Stegostoma tigrinum: one gene and its partner. The protein of the gene in region 1 purifies or fractionates together with the protein of each later gene. This does not show direct contact. Links are inferred from orthologs where the notes say so. Each region holds a gene or a part of one and is shown on either strand. Other genes may lie near its edges.

Region 1 (7,551 bases):
AAATCTCCAGTGGAGATACAAATCTCTCAAGTCTCAGACCGGCCGCTGGCATGCCTACATTAGTCCATACCTTGCCATGAACTTAGTATCCATGACAAAAGGCATATCATTTGCAAGGGCCAGTCTTGACACTACCGTTCTTCCACATAGCATTAATGAAATCAACAACTATGCATGTGGGAGGTTAACAACACTTCATATTGTGCCAGTGCAATCTCACCCAAATATTTCCATCAATCATGATCCATTCAACCTTCATCAACTCATTCGGGAAGGTTTAGCTCAAAATAAGCAATCGCCCAAGCGGTCTGTGCAAGTAGAACAGAATTCTGGGAAACACGGAGGTCAGGCAGCAAATGAGAACAGAAATTACAACTGAAGATAATAAAACGTGAGGCTGGATGAACACAGCAGGCCAAGCAGCATCTCAGGAGCACAAAAGCTGACGTTTCGGGCCTAGACCCTTCATCAAAGAGGGGGATGGGGTGAGGGTTCTGGAATAAATAGGGAGAGAGGGGGAGGCGGACCGAAGATGGAGAGAAAAGATAGGTGGAGAGAGTATAGGTGAGGAGGTAGGGAGGGGGTAGGTCAGTCCAGGGAAGACAGACAGGTCAAGGAGGTGGGATGAGGTTAGTAGGTAGATGGGGGTACGGCTTGGGGTGGGAGGAAGGGATGGGTGAGAGGAAGAACAGGTTAGGGAGGCAGAGACAGGTTGGACTGGTTTTGGGATGCAGTGGGTGGAGAGGAAGATCTGGGCTGGTTTAGGGATGCGGTGGGGGAAGGGGAGATTTTGAAACTGGTGAAGTCCACATTGATATCATTAGGCTGCAGGGTTCCCAGGTGGAATATGAGTTGCTGTTCCTGCAACCTTCGGGTGGCATCATTGTGGCATTGCAGGAGGCCCATGATGGACATGTCATCTAAAGAATGGGAGGGGGAGTGGAAATGGTTTGCGACTGGAAGGTGCAGTTGTCTGTTGCGAACTGAGCGGAGGTGTTCTGCAAAGCGGTCCCCATGCCTCCGCTTGGTTTCCCCAATGTAGAGGAAGCCACACCGGGTACAGTGGATGCAGTATACCACATTGGCAGATGTGCAGGTGAACCTTTGCTTAATGTGGAATGTCATCTTGGGGACTGGGACAGGGGTGAGGGAGGAGGTGTGGGGGCAAGTGTAGCATTTCCTGCGGTTGCAGGGGAAGGTGCTGGGTGTGGTGGGGTTGGAGGGCAGTGTGGAACGAACAAGGGAGTCATGGAGAGAGTGGTCTCTCCAGAAAGCAGACAGGGGTGGGGATGGAAAAATGTCTTGGATGGTGGGGTCGGATTGTAGATGGCGGAAGTGTCGGAGGATGATGCGTTGTATCCGGAGGTTGGTGGGGTGGTGTGTGAGAACGAGGGGGATCCTCTTTGGGCGGTTGTGGCAGGGGCGGGGTGTGAGGGATGTGTTGCAGGAAATACGGGAGACGCGGTCAAGGGCGTTCTCGATCACTGTGGGGGGACAGTTGCGGTCCTTGAAGAACTTGGACATCTGGGATGTGCGGGAGTGGAATGCCTCATTGTGGGAGCAGCTGCGGCGGAAGCGGAGGAGTTGGGAACAGGGGATGGAATTTTTGCAGGAGGGTGGGTGGGAGGAAGTGTATTCTAGGTAGCTGTGGGAGTCGGTGGGCTTGAAATGGACATAAGTTACAAGCTGGTTGCCTGAGATAACTTACAACTGAAGATAATCACTAAAGATAGACTTCTGTTCCTGACAAAAGAATAAGATGTCTGAGCCCAAATTTTCTTTACCTATTCTGATATTAACCTGTGCATTTCTACTTTGCCTTTAGATGTATGACACACAAAAACATTTTCTTTCCCAATAGTTTACAAGAGGGTTCATGCTATGCCAAAATTACTAGCACCTGTGTATGGCAGGAATAAACACTTTTGCCTGTCATGTCCTTAATCTAAGAATATTGGTACATTTTAGGACAGAAACTAGACAGTCTATTATGTCTGTAGTGTTGAATCAATTCCAAGGCAAAAAATCTCCTCTGAAATATTAAAACAAAGGAAAAGCATACAGCACTCAAATCAACAGGGCAATGCAAATCTCACCATTGATGAATCCAATGCATCACCTAGAATCATATGCAGCAAGCTCCATGCCTCATTAGTATCAACATACTGGGGATCTTGCAAATACCAAGAATTTTACTGAGGGCAGCGGGGATGAAGAGATTAGAAGATCAATCATCCCCAAAGGTTTTCACACACCTTCCAAGTGCCTACTTGCAGAGTAACACTGATATATTCTTAAGGGTGGCTCACTCAACCAGCTTGGGAAGGGGTTTGTGACATACCATTCAACTGACATTTCCCCAAAAATTTGCTATAGTCATAAAACCTCAAAAATGTTCCAAATCAAGCTGAGCACAAATTGGGCCAGGTGAATGTCATTGATTATGAGGTCCTTGACTAGGGCTGCTAACCTGAGGCAATCAGGGAGCCCTGGCTGACAGATATAAATGGGAGATTCAGAAGGTCTCCTCAGTCACGGAACTGACTCAGAGCCCTTGTACTGCACACATGTAAATAAAGGGTGACTTGGTCACAAGACACCAGCCTCTGTAATTATTTCAAACACATTTATGCTCTCCTCTTTTGCACCCATCAAGACATCTTAACAGTACAAACAGAGGCTTTTGTGCTCTTGCTGAGGTGTGCATTGGTTATCAGCTTACCATTTAATGTCTCTAGTGCCTCCTCCTTGCTGCGTGTGATCTCCTCCTGTCTCCACGAAGAAGGCCTGCGTGACTGGTTGTGCTTCACTAACAGGTGGGAACAACGAACTTTGTCAGGCTCAACAGAATTGTAATTCCCCCCAGCTTTTGGTCGCTCCCACTGACTCCGATTAGTTATATGATTGAAGAAGTAAATGCGACCTGCAAAAGAAATATCAAATGGCATCAGAGATGCAAGCAAACCAATCAAGACACACCTTGCAAAACCTGATTTGAATAGTTTCTCCTTCCTCGCTCCACTCCAGAGCCCTTGTCCCGATTTCTTCAGAAGTCTCAGATGCAGTTCCATGGGCACTGGATATCAACATGGGTTTCTACAACATCCTTCACTACAAAACACACATTACAACAACTTAAATACTACATTTTGAAAGAAATGTGAAAGGCCTTAAAAAAAGTCATTAGGACTGGATTTTTTTGTTATAAAAAGAGATGCAGCCAGGTGGATGAATATCGGCCAACGAGCCCCTCTTTGATGTTAGAATTGACTGTCACGAGGGGAATTAGAACTTCATTCAATCGTTTCACTAATTTCCAACAGTGCAGCACTCTCAAATTTCAGTGTCAGACCAGACATTGCAGCTACATCCTTACAGAGCCTGACCTTGACAAGACAGTTTTACCACTGTGCCCTGGCTAAAGCCACAGAATGCACACCCCCAAAAGCACATTGAAAGAAAATGTTCATCAGTACTGGGCACCATAGCTTAACTTACTTTATTCCATCATTTGCCATATGCATACAAGCAACTGCAGTATGGCTAACTGGACAGACAGCATTTGTGGCATCAAACCTTCTTTGCATCCATCATCTCAAAAAGCACAAAATTACACAAAAATCATTAGGAATTTATAGCAGAGATTTATCTATCACAACTTGTCGCAACACTGAGATCCACATGTCCAAAAAAAAACACAAAAACACATGACAACTACAGAAACTCTAACCTTAAATGCATAATATTTGTTGTTGGTCAACAGACTTATTTGGTGCCTGCTTGAGGTGCTTTTTCCCCTTTGTTGGTCTTGGAGGTCATTCACAGAAAAGTGTGCTCCCATCATGTGTAAAGACTGCAGCCTCTGTACAAATCAACTGTGAACTTAATCCGGGCAGTCAATACATACGTGAACAAACTACCACAGAGAGAACAACATTCAAACTTGACATACAGCTTCCTTGACATGTGTAAGATTTTTTTTGGTACTATGGTCCTCTTATTCACAGAATCTTATTCTTCTGACTAAATTTGTTTTGCTGCATTCTTCATATTTAACAATTTGAAAGATTAGACAATTTCATTTTTAGGACATAAATTCAGCATTCAGTACATCATTAGAAATGCTATGTAGGCCTCTGGTAAGGCAAAGGGGGCACAAATGTTTTCTTTTGGAAGATAACACTATTCTGACATCTTTGCCTTCCTACATTCACCTGACTGCAAGTGACACAAATACATTACACTATGTTCTGAATCTAATTAAATCAAGTGTTAAGTGTTCAGCAAGGATATGTTGCTGAAGTTGTTTACATGGAAGGGTTTTGGGTAATCTAGATTGCTTCCTGCAGTAAAGTGTGTGTTGTGATGAACTGTGAAGGCTGGACTGAAAACAGCATGTGTCTAGTTTGGAGCCCTGTCTTCAGGCTGCCATTTTATGGTACCAGCTACAGGTTGAATCTAAAAGAGACACCATCATGAACTTGGCTTTCTGAAGAAAACGGTTTTAGAATATATGCTTTATGAAACTATATACATGTTGCTTTGCTCTGATTTATACCACTTTTCGTTACTGAGCAATCTGTGGTCTGGGTCTAGGCCCGAAACGTCAGCTTTTGTGCTCCTGAGATGCTGCTTGGCCTGCTGTGTCCATCCAGCTTCACACTTTGTTATCTTAGTTACAAACATGGTGCTTTTAGGGAGGATGTGCCAGGATTTCAGACTTTAAAATAAATGAGTATTAAATAAACATCAATAATACAACTTGCCATCATGTGGTGCTTCCAACAGCTCTGGACCAATCATGAATTTTTAAAAAATTTTCACTGCATAGTCCAAACATGGTCATGTGTATTTTTGCACTTTTCAAGCTACTTTTCTCATAAATGAATGAAATAGGAGCAGGACTCATGCTCTGCCATTCAGTGTGATCATGGTTGATCTTCTTGTTAAGAGATCTTTTGTGCAATAACACCATCTCTCTTTATATATTTAATAACAGATCCCTCTTGGATTCTCTCAATAACTAAGTCACCAAACCCTTTGGGACAGAGAATTCCAAGGATCACCCACTCCCTATGAATCAGTCTGGATTGCATTTTAACCTTTTGAACCACGTACTCCTTCCCAGCAACTTTTCAATTCCATGAAAGTGCTGGAGACAAATCACATTTAGCAGACTGCTATTTTTGTAATTCCTTTTGTACTCATTGATGGGGTCAGCATCTCAAGATGAACCAGAATTTTGCTGCTCATCTCTAAAGATGCCCTCAAGATGGTGGTGCTGGCTTGTTACTGCAGTCCATGTGTACAGGTGCAACCACAGTACTGTCAGCAAGGAAGTGCCAGGATTTCAGTTTAAGCTAGATTTCCGTGTTTTCTCCTCTCTGTTAAGTGAAAACTAGATTACACAAAGTTTCCACTTGTTAAACACGAAAACAACAAACTGGCACTATTGGACATTTTTGGACAACAGCCACAAAGTAAGAATTGAGAAAACACAAAGGAACTGAAGTTCACATAACAGAAATCAATATTCAGACAAACACTATGAAATTATTCCACTATACCCATTACTAAGCAATCTAAGAGCCCATGACAGTCTTAGAGAACAGATTATCAATGTACCTACATGTTTTTACCCAAGGCCATGGAAAAATGATACATATAAAATGTTAAAACCAATTATAAAGTCCTCAGCCAGGCTTACGTTAAAAAAAGTCTATCACCAGTCTATTATCAGCAATAAAATGAAGCATATATTTCAAGCAAGTTATCTTTTATCATGACAAAATTAAAATTTTTGATATATTCAACATAGTAAAGCTACTGGAGCTTGGCTCAAGCTTCCAGGTTGCAATTTCAGCTGCATTAATAGATAATTCCCTGTGTTCATATAATCCAACATGGCTTTACTGGGGATCATTTTAATATTTGTGGAGAATGAGTACTTTCATGCAGAGCCTAGATTCATAGCTAATAAAACTCTGCTACTGAAACACAAGCCCACTGAACAGAAAAAGAGCACCTTGCAATGTAAATAATTACAACCTCCATTATTTTAATTCCCACAATTTGTCATTTTAAAAATAAGTTACATTCTGGGCAGAGCAAAAAATAAATCTGAATAGCAACAGTGGCGTACTGGTTTAATCTGGACTTTGAAAACTGGAGACATGTCTAAATTGTTACCAAGAGGACAGAGACCAGTGAAGTTATAAACTGCTTACAATGGTACATCAGTCGCAAAACATGGCTTTATGATATGAAGTCAAATTAATTTTCCAATGAGCTTTTAAAACGTCTCAGCAAATAGTTGAAAAGGTTAAAAGAACTGAAGTTGAAATACACAAGATAAATGAGTGAATAGCCATGCAATATTAGTCATAATATTAAGCCAATGAATTCAAAATATAAAAAAAAACTTGTCTATACATTTGCTTATAGATGACTGTCCTAAAATCATTAAAGCGAGATTAAGATTGCAACTGAAATAGGCTGCTATTTTAATAAAAACAGAAAATTCTGGAACGTATTTGGGTCAGACAGGACCCTGCAGAGGAAGAGATAAGGAAATGTTTCAGGTTGGAGATAGCAATAACTGCCAATGCTGGAGTCAGAGTCGATACAGTGTTTCAGGTCAGTAGCTTTGAAAGAGAGATAATTATTGAAGAGTTCAATCATTCTTCCTTTGTGATTTCCAGTACAAGAGAATTATTTCAAGGACCGTAAGATACCATTCAGCAAAATCACCAACACATTATTTTACTCTAAGATGAAGGTCACAGGGCAGTTTGACCAACCAAGAGTAAAATCTGGCACACTGGTTCTTGCAGTCATGAAACATGGGAAACATTCAATAGTTACTTTAGTTTGAATATTTTTTTTAAATTGTAGGAACTTGGCAGCATCCGTCCTCAGCAGGATATCTGAAAGGTAACAACTTTAGAAAAGGAGCAACCAATTAGTGATGTAGAAAGTTATCAGCCATGCAGGTAGTCCACTGTGCTCACTGTTTGCCAGTCTCCTCTTGTGCAGTACAATAGATTTGTCTATCCTGTACATTACCATTTCTTGCACATGGTCCTGATGAGTGCAAGTCAAAGGGCTTCGACAAAATGTGCCTTTTATCAACAATACTCAAGTTCTGTACCATCAAACCACACAATTCTAGGTCAGGTTACAAATATGTGCATTTTCTGCAGTCTCCAAGAACTGGTCAACTAAATAGGAAATTTTAAAAAAAAAAGTGGAGTTTCACTTCCACGAAATTCTCAGACAGAATACAGGATTTTTCTTATTTGGAGAGAGTGGGGGGTGGGGGTAGGATGGTAGCTTGGAAAAGGAGATCTGGCCATACTCAACTCCATAATGATGATGAAACTCCAACTGAGACAAATAAAAATCAGAGTAAAGTGGCAGAGAATGTTTTCTCAAATTTCATGGTCAGACAAATCCAGTATGCACAAAGAAGGGAGCAATTTCAATTTGTGTTGGGGGTCATGGAGTGGAAGAGATGGTTCGGGGGGGGGGGGGTTGATAGGCAACAAACAC
Region 2 (7,224 bases), on another chromosome or scaffold:
AATGAGGGCTTTGGCCTCCTCAGCTGTCTCAGGACACAGATTGGCCAAACTGGCTAGCTCAAATTTGTGTAATTTCTTCTGTAATAGCAGACTACAAGAAAGAGAATGTGAAAGCTATACTTCAAATGAAAGCCACACACTAGTTCAACTCGATCTCTTCACAAGAGCCTAAATGTGATTAAATACAACACAAGCGTAAACAGGACTGAGAAGAATAATATGATCAATTCTATTTATCTGTGATAATAGAGTAAGACAGTTAATAGTAGACAAGTAAATTGAAAGATAATAAAATAACTACTGAAAGAAAATGACAAAGTTGATATAGTTACCAGGAAACATTTCCTTGTCAAACACAGTCAACAGATCCCAGCCACAGTTGTTAACTTTGAGCCAAAAGCAGGCAAAAAGGATCAGTATTCAAGAGGATCAAGTTATCAACCTTCATACTTAGTCAGAAGTCAAAATTGTGCAATATGTCATCATAGGATAATTGTGCACTAAGCTCAGAGGATAGAATTAGCCCACTTGCCACTGAATTTGCCTGAAATTTGCTGTGAATACTGTCACAAAGACAATTTAGCTGTCACATTATTATAATAGCACTGTTTGGACATATGTGCTTTGAACTTTTAGGAAGAGACACTGCAAAACAAAATACAATGACTACAGTAGCAAAACCATTGCATTTAGAAGGAACAGGTTGTTTCAATGAAGATGCCAAGTCCACAACACCTTCAGAAAAGTCACATGATCCAGTTTTGGTTCCAGGGAAAGAAAAGTAGATGATTTGAGCTCAGATAACCAGAGAGATAACTTGCCTTGAGCACAGCCCTTACCATCTCTGTTTTCTCTGAAACTCATCTTAAAAGTTTGAGTTATAAACCTTTTGAAAGATTTCATCAAGTATTAGTTCCTAATGGGAATAGTTCTGATTGCTGCACTCTGAGTTCTTGAAGGAGAATCAGAATCTATCACCAAATTCAAAAGAAAATCAGCTAGTCACATGTGATCCAGGAAGAAATCCTATTGCCAATATTTTGTAAGCAAAGTGACTCTGCTACAGATTACCATTTGGACACTGATTTTTTAAAAAATTAGATTGTAACTTGGTTAAACACTTAAGAAAACACATTGAAATGTTTTCAAATTTGTCTCTCTCACTGCATCCGAGTGAGTGAGTGTTATTTTTCAGGAGAAATTGAATATATTTGACAGCTTAAACCTTAAGTTAATCTCAACAATTTGCTTCAGTAAGCTTCATATACAATAAGTTAATTCGTGACTTGTTACTTAAAGACCATGGCTGACTTGCTTTGATGTGGACTAAATATACAATCTGATACTATATATAATTGAAAATACCCCCCCCCTTTCAAATTCCAAATCTGTTGGGACCAGGGAAGGATGGGACAAGTAAGAGAATTAATTCACCCCTCCCAACCCCAGCAAGAGCAATACTGCAGATCAGTAGGTGCACTGAATATTTTCGAATCCTCACGCACTGACCTCCTAACACTGGCAATGGTCTCCCTATTTTTGAAGCGGCTGAATCTGGCTGTATAGTTTAACGTTTTCATAAACACTTCAGAGAGCTCCTGCTCATCTTCTGCACTTTCGTTCTGCTGCTTCCGGTGCTCCAGCAACATGTGGACCTCAGAGTTTAACAGGGTCTCTGAGCTTTCAAACTCTGTGACAACATAAAACAAAACAACCAAAATGTAGCCAAACCTTCAGTCAGTTACCTAACAATGCCCCTCCCAAACAACTTCCAATAACTTAGTTTTTTGAATACCATATTGATAGTACTTAAGCTCAAACATCTATCAACTGGTAACAAAGTGTGGAGCTGGAGGAACACAGCAAGCCAGGCAGCAGAGGAGCAGGAAAATTGACGTTTCGGGTCAGGTCCCTTGATTTCTGAAGATTTCTAAAGAAAGGTCCCAACCCGAAACATCAACTTTCCTGCTCCTCTGCTGCTGCTTAGCCTGTGTTCCTCTTCCCCCACCTTCACACTGTGTTATCTCTGACTCCAGCATCTGCAGTTCTTGCTATCTCTGAGCGATCACCTGATAACAGGTTAACTCCTTCCATTCCTGTGTACTGAGTTTCCATATCTGAAGCCTAGAAAGAGGGAGCGAACAGTACCGTATTGCACACATTGAGCAAGGTAATTTCAGAGGATTAAATCATTGTGCCACATACATGCTTCTCCAGTGGAACATTTGCTGAGTAGTAGATGTGTACAGTTGGAATTTGGCAGAAAGCAATTCATAAGCTTTTTTTTAAAAAAGGTAAGTGAAGAACTTAAGTGGGAATAGCAAAGGAAGTAGTGTATTTATGGTGGAACAGACTCAAGGGCAAGAAAAGCCTTTACTGTGCTGTATGATTCTACAACTCTGAGGCTTTCCTGAAAGTGGTTCGCATCGCTGCCTCACAGTGCCGGGTAACAGGTTCAATTCCGACCCTGGGTGGCTGTCCATGTGGAGTTTGCATATTCTCCCTGTATCCGTGTGGTTTTCCTCCGGGTGCTCCAGTTTCCTGCCACAGTCCAAAGATGTGGATTGGCCATGGTTAAAAGCCCCATGCAGGGTTACAAGGATGGGGTGGGTCTGCCGGGGATGTTTTTCAGAGGGTCAGTGCCGACCTCTATGGGCCAAATGGCCTCCTTCTGTACTACAGGGATTCTCTGACTCACAAAAGGAGAATGAAAGTGGCATGCTCAGTGGCCAACCCTTCACCCTGTTCCCTGAGCATACTGCTGCTATTGTTATCATTCTCTCTTGAACTTGGTGGCCTGTCGCTTATGTTATGTCTTTATGCAGCATTTCTTGAAGGGCAAACTAGAAGTGAATTGAGCATATAAAACAGAGTGAGAACTGACTGAGAATACAGCAGGAACTTTCAATGATTTACCTTTCTCACCCCATTATCATCATCATATCCATCCCTCTCCCTCTCCGCCAGTACCTTTCGGGAACACCAGCTGGGAAGCGTCCTCCTCCACATCGCCGACCCGGGCCTCACTACCACAGGCCGCCATTGCAAGTCCTCACTGACCCGGAACAAGACCAGACCAGATCCCAGCCCATCCAGACGCATGCGCAAAAGCTGTACGGCTTCCCCCCCACCCCGGGCGCTGCCACGTTTGATACAGGCGGAACCTGGTCACTGAAAATAGCCTGGGAACAGTGTGGCTCCAGCCTGGCCCGGGTTCTTGCCTTCCTATTCGTTAAAACATTTTGTTGGATTGAGTCGGTCAATCAGCGTCATGATTCTGAGTGACTGAATGGGTCCCGCTCGTAAGAGGAAGAAGGGAATCTGTACTCGAAACTTTAACTCTGCATCCTCGCCACAGAGGCTGCCCAGACCTGCTCAGTTTCTCCAGCAATTTCTGTTTTGTTTCAGATCTGCAGTATGCACATTCTCTTTGTTTTATGTAAGAACAAGAGGACATAAAGCTAAAGTGATCTACAAAAGAAACAAGGGTGAAGTGAGGAAAAACCTGTACAAACAGTGAGTAGTTAGGCTATGGAATGCACTGCCTGGAAATGTGATGGAGGCACATTGAATTGACGCATTCAAGAGGGCGATGTAAATAACACTCAAAGCTATGAGGGGAAAGCAGGATACTGGCACTAGGTATTGGTGCACTTTTCACAAGCTGTTGTCAGCACAATGAGCTGAATGGCTTCATGTGCACCATAATACTTATATAATTCTATGGGTCTACTCCCTGAGGAAGAACAATGTCCCTTTCAATAAGAACATACCCAGGTGACTCAGGTCAGCCCTGAGTCTACTTCACCTTGCATGGCTGATCTGATTGTGGCCTTATCTCCATTTTCATGCCTGACCTCCTTGGAATCTTTGACTCCCTTGTCAATATATAACTCCGACTTGAATGTATTCAATAGCCCAAATTACATTGCTTTCCATGTGAATTCAAAACACAAACTACCCTCTACAGAGGGTGACCAACTATTAAGACCATAAGAAATTGAAACAGGAGTAGTCTGTTCAGCCCTTCAAGCCTGCTCTGCCATTCAATAGCATAATGGTTGATTCAACATTCCTCGTCTCCTATTTCCTGCTCTTTCCCTGTAACCCTTCATTTCCCTATTGATCAAGAACCTATCTCAGCCTTAAATACACATAAGGACCCCGTGCCAAAACAACTTTCTGTAGCACGGAGTTCCCAAGACTCTCAATCCTCTGAGAGAAGGAATTCCTATTCATCTCAGTCTTAAATTGATGCCCCTTTATTGTGAGACTATGCCCTCAGGTCCTAGAGTCTCCCATGAGGGGAAACATGCTTTCAGCATTTGACCCTGTCAAGCTACTGAAGAATCCTATAGTTTCAATGATATCACTCTTGTTCCAACAGTAGAGTCCCAATCTGTTCAACCTCTCATCAGCCAAGTCCTCTATACCAGCGATCATCCTGGTGAATCTTCTTTGAACTGCCTCCATTTAAATAATTTCCTTAAATAAGTGGACCAAAATTGCTCTCACAGTACTCCAGATGTGGTCTCACTAGCACCTTGTAGTTACAATAAGACTTCCCTACTCTTATACTCCAGTAAACAGTTGCGGTCCAGCACTGGTCCATGTGGAACCCACTGGTTACAAGTCACCAAGCTGAAAAAAAACCCTTATCACCACTGACTGTTTCCTGCCCATTAGTCAATTCGCCATTCATGCCAATATAATACCTCCAATACTGTGGGTTCTGTTCTGGATTCCCAAAAACTGTCAACAGTCCCCACAGGTGCCATTTAGAGATCTTTGACTTTTGAGCGTTGTGGTAATGGTTTATGCACAGAATGCTTTGCTGGTCTTCTGCTCCAACAACTTCATCAGAGGTAAAGTCTCAACAACCACCTACCTACTCATTTTCAGCTGCAATCTGTCCTTGGAAGTTCAGCAACACTTAAGATTTGGTGAGCCTCCCCTAATCTTTTCCTCAAATGTTGGTCAACCTGCCTCTAAGGGAATGAGTAATTTTCATTTTAAATGGGAAACTCATTATTTTAAAACTCTGGCTTCTAATTCTAGACTTGCACCTGAGGGCAAACATCCTTTCAGAATCCATCTTGACAAGCCTCCTCAGAAACGTCTTTGTGTCAATAAGATCTCATTCTCCTAACCTCCAACAAGCCCATTCTGCTCAACCTCTCCTTATAAGACAGACCTCTTCATCCTGCAAATCTTCTAAGTGACTCTCCTCCTGCTTCCAGTGTAAGTAGGGTTCCCTCCTTAAGCTGACCAGAGTTGTGCTCAATGTGATTTCACTCATGGCCTCTGCAGTTTTAAGACATCCCTACCTGTATTCTCCACTCCTTTTGTAATAAATGCCAACATTCCAAACACTTGCCTCATCAACTTGTTCAGGGATGTAACACCTCTGGAGTGGTGGGATCTGAACCTAGGCCACCTGACTCAGAGGTAGAGATCTACCAATGTGTCACAAGGGTGCCGAAGCCTAAAATCCATTGTGTTCCGAATGACATGCTGCACTTGGTGGCTGATTATTTGTGATATATATAAGAAGTCTGCAGTGTCTCTCTGCCTTAAATAATAGTCTGCTTTTCTATTTCTGCCAAATTGGATGACCTCACATTTTCCCACATTGCATTATATCTGATAATTTCTGACTCCCCATTCTTTGTAGATTTAATTCCCAACTTATCTTTGTATTATCAGCAGAATTGGCTACAAAACAGTCAGTCCCTTTAACAAAGTCACGGACATAGATGGTGAATAGTCAGTTTCTCGTACTGATCCCTGTGGTATTCTGCTAGTTACAGTTTGTCATCATACTAATGACACATTTATCTCAACCACTTTTATCTTCTTAGTTCATTCTCTACACATGCTAAACACCCTGAACACCATGAATGCTTACCTTTTGTGGTTGGCTTTCATGCAGTGATTTTATCAAATGCCTTTCAGAAATCCAAATACACTACAGCTACTAGTTCCCCTTTAAATATGTCGCTTGTTACATTCTTAAAGGACATTACTGCAAATATCAATCAAATTTTTCTTTCACAAAACCATATTTACTCTCCTTGATAGTATTAATTTCAGATTGTCCTTCCACTACCTACTTTGTAGTGAATTGTAGCATTTTCCTAATGCCAGACATTGGAGTAACTAATCTATCATTTCTTTGTCTTTCTCCTTTCTTGGACATAGGTGTATTTTCTGGTTTTCCACTGGGCTGGGTCTGTTCCAGAATCTAGGGAATTTTGGAAGATTACAACCAATGCATTTACCATTTCTCTGTCGCTAGTTTCATTTATTCCACAGAATGCAGACAATCAGATCCAGTGGACTTGTCAGTGTGTTTGATTTCTGTTGCTTTTCCTGTGCTTTTTTGGTGACTGTTTTCTTTCACTTCCTTCATTTTGCTGATTGATTTTCTAATATTCATGGGGTGACTTTTTATCTTTAACCTTGAAGACTATTGACTTTCGCTAACTGTTTGGACATCCTTCTGCCTTTATCCAAAGATTTGTTATGGACCTGCAGTTCTCACTCAAACTGAATCTCAAATTCTTTCATGCCTTATTCACTCCTCTCGAAGGCATCCTTTACTGTAAAGGTCATTAATTTATTCTGTTTCATTCCCAATTGATAAAGTTGTTCCCTTGTAGCTTCCAGTGTGTATTGTCTTTGAAACTATTCCAGGAACACATCCTACAGGCCATCTTTGCCAATTTGATTTCGAAAGTTTTTGTCCACTCACTTACCTGACTAAATCCCTTCGTAGTCTCTTTATGTTCTTTTGACATATTTTCCTACCTAGCTTTGTGTCATCTTTGTCTTTAGCTAATGCCAAATGTTTGGGGTCTTCACACAAACATATCAGGGATTTCCAATTGTTTTGTATGAGGAACTATCTTTCCATTTATCTCTCATACAGGGCCAGCTAACAAATTTTGGGCAGATAAAGTCATAAATACTAAACATGAATTTGAAACAAAATTCCAAAGCAATAATTTGAATAAATTAGTGACTAATAGAAATGATCTCTAAAAAGTGCCGAGTAGCAGAGCTAACTAATAAAACCTTTGTCATTTCAGGTAAGGTCATAAGAACACAAGGTGTAGGGTAGATTCATTCTGCCCATTCAGCCCATTGAGTTCGCTACACTATTTAACAAGATCATGGCTGATCTGATAATCCTCATCTCCAGTTTTCTGCATTTCCCCAAAA

What was found. Proteins that work in one complex are often made in the same cells at the same time.
Region 2: the proteins of pin1 (region 1) and polr2d purify together in Homo sapiens (co-immunoprecipitation; 3 studies listed by BioGRID and IntAct, with this or other methods). This does not show direct contact. The link is inferred for Stegostoma tigrinum from reciprocal best matches to the Homo sapiens genes PIN1 and POLR2D.

What each region holds. Positions count from the first base shown.
Region 1 is NC_081388.1:20,180,446-20,187,996, forward strand, and holds the start of pin1 (peptidyl-prolyl cis-trans isomerase NIMA-interacting 1), read right to left. Parts: upstream 3,087-7,551; 5' UTR 3,072-3,086; coding exon 2,723-3,071; intron 1-2,722. UniProt on the Homo sapiens protein: Peptidyl-prolyl cis/trans isomerase (PPIase) that binds to and isomerizes specific phosphorylated Ser/Thr-Pro (pSer/Thr-Pro) motifs.
Region 2 is NC_081367.1:6,523,530-6,530,753, forward strand, and holds the start of polr2d (DNA-directed RNA polymerase II subunit RPB4), read right to left. Parts: upstream 3,081-7,224; 5' UTR 3,044-3,080; coding exon 2,971-3,043; intron 1,691-2,970; coding exon 1,510-1,690; intron 92-1,509; coding exon 1-91. UniProt on the Homo sapiens protein: Core component of RNA polymerase II (Pol II), a DNA-dependent RNA polymerase which synthesizes mRNA precursors and many functional non-coding RNAs using the four ribonucleoside triphosphates as substrates.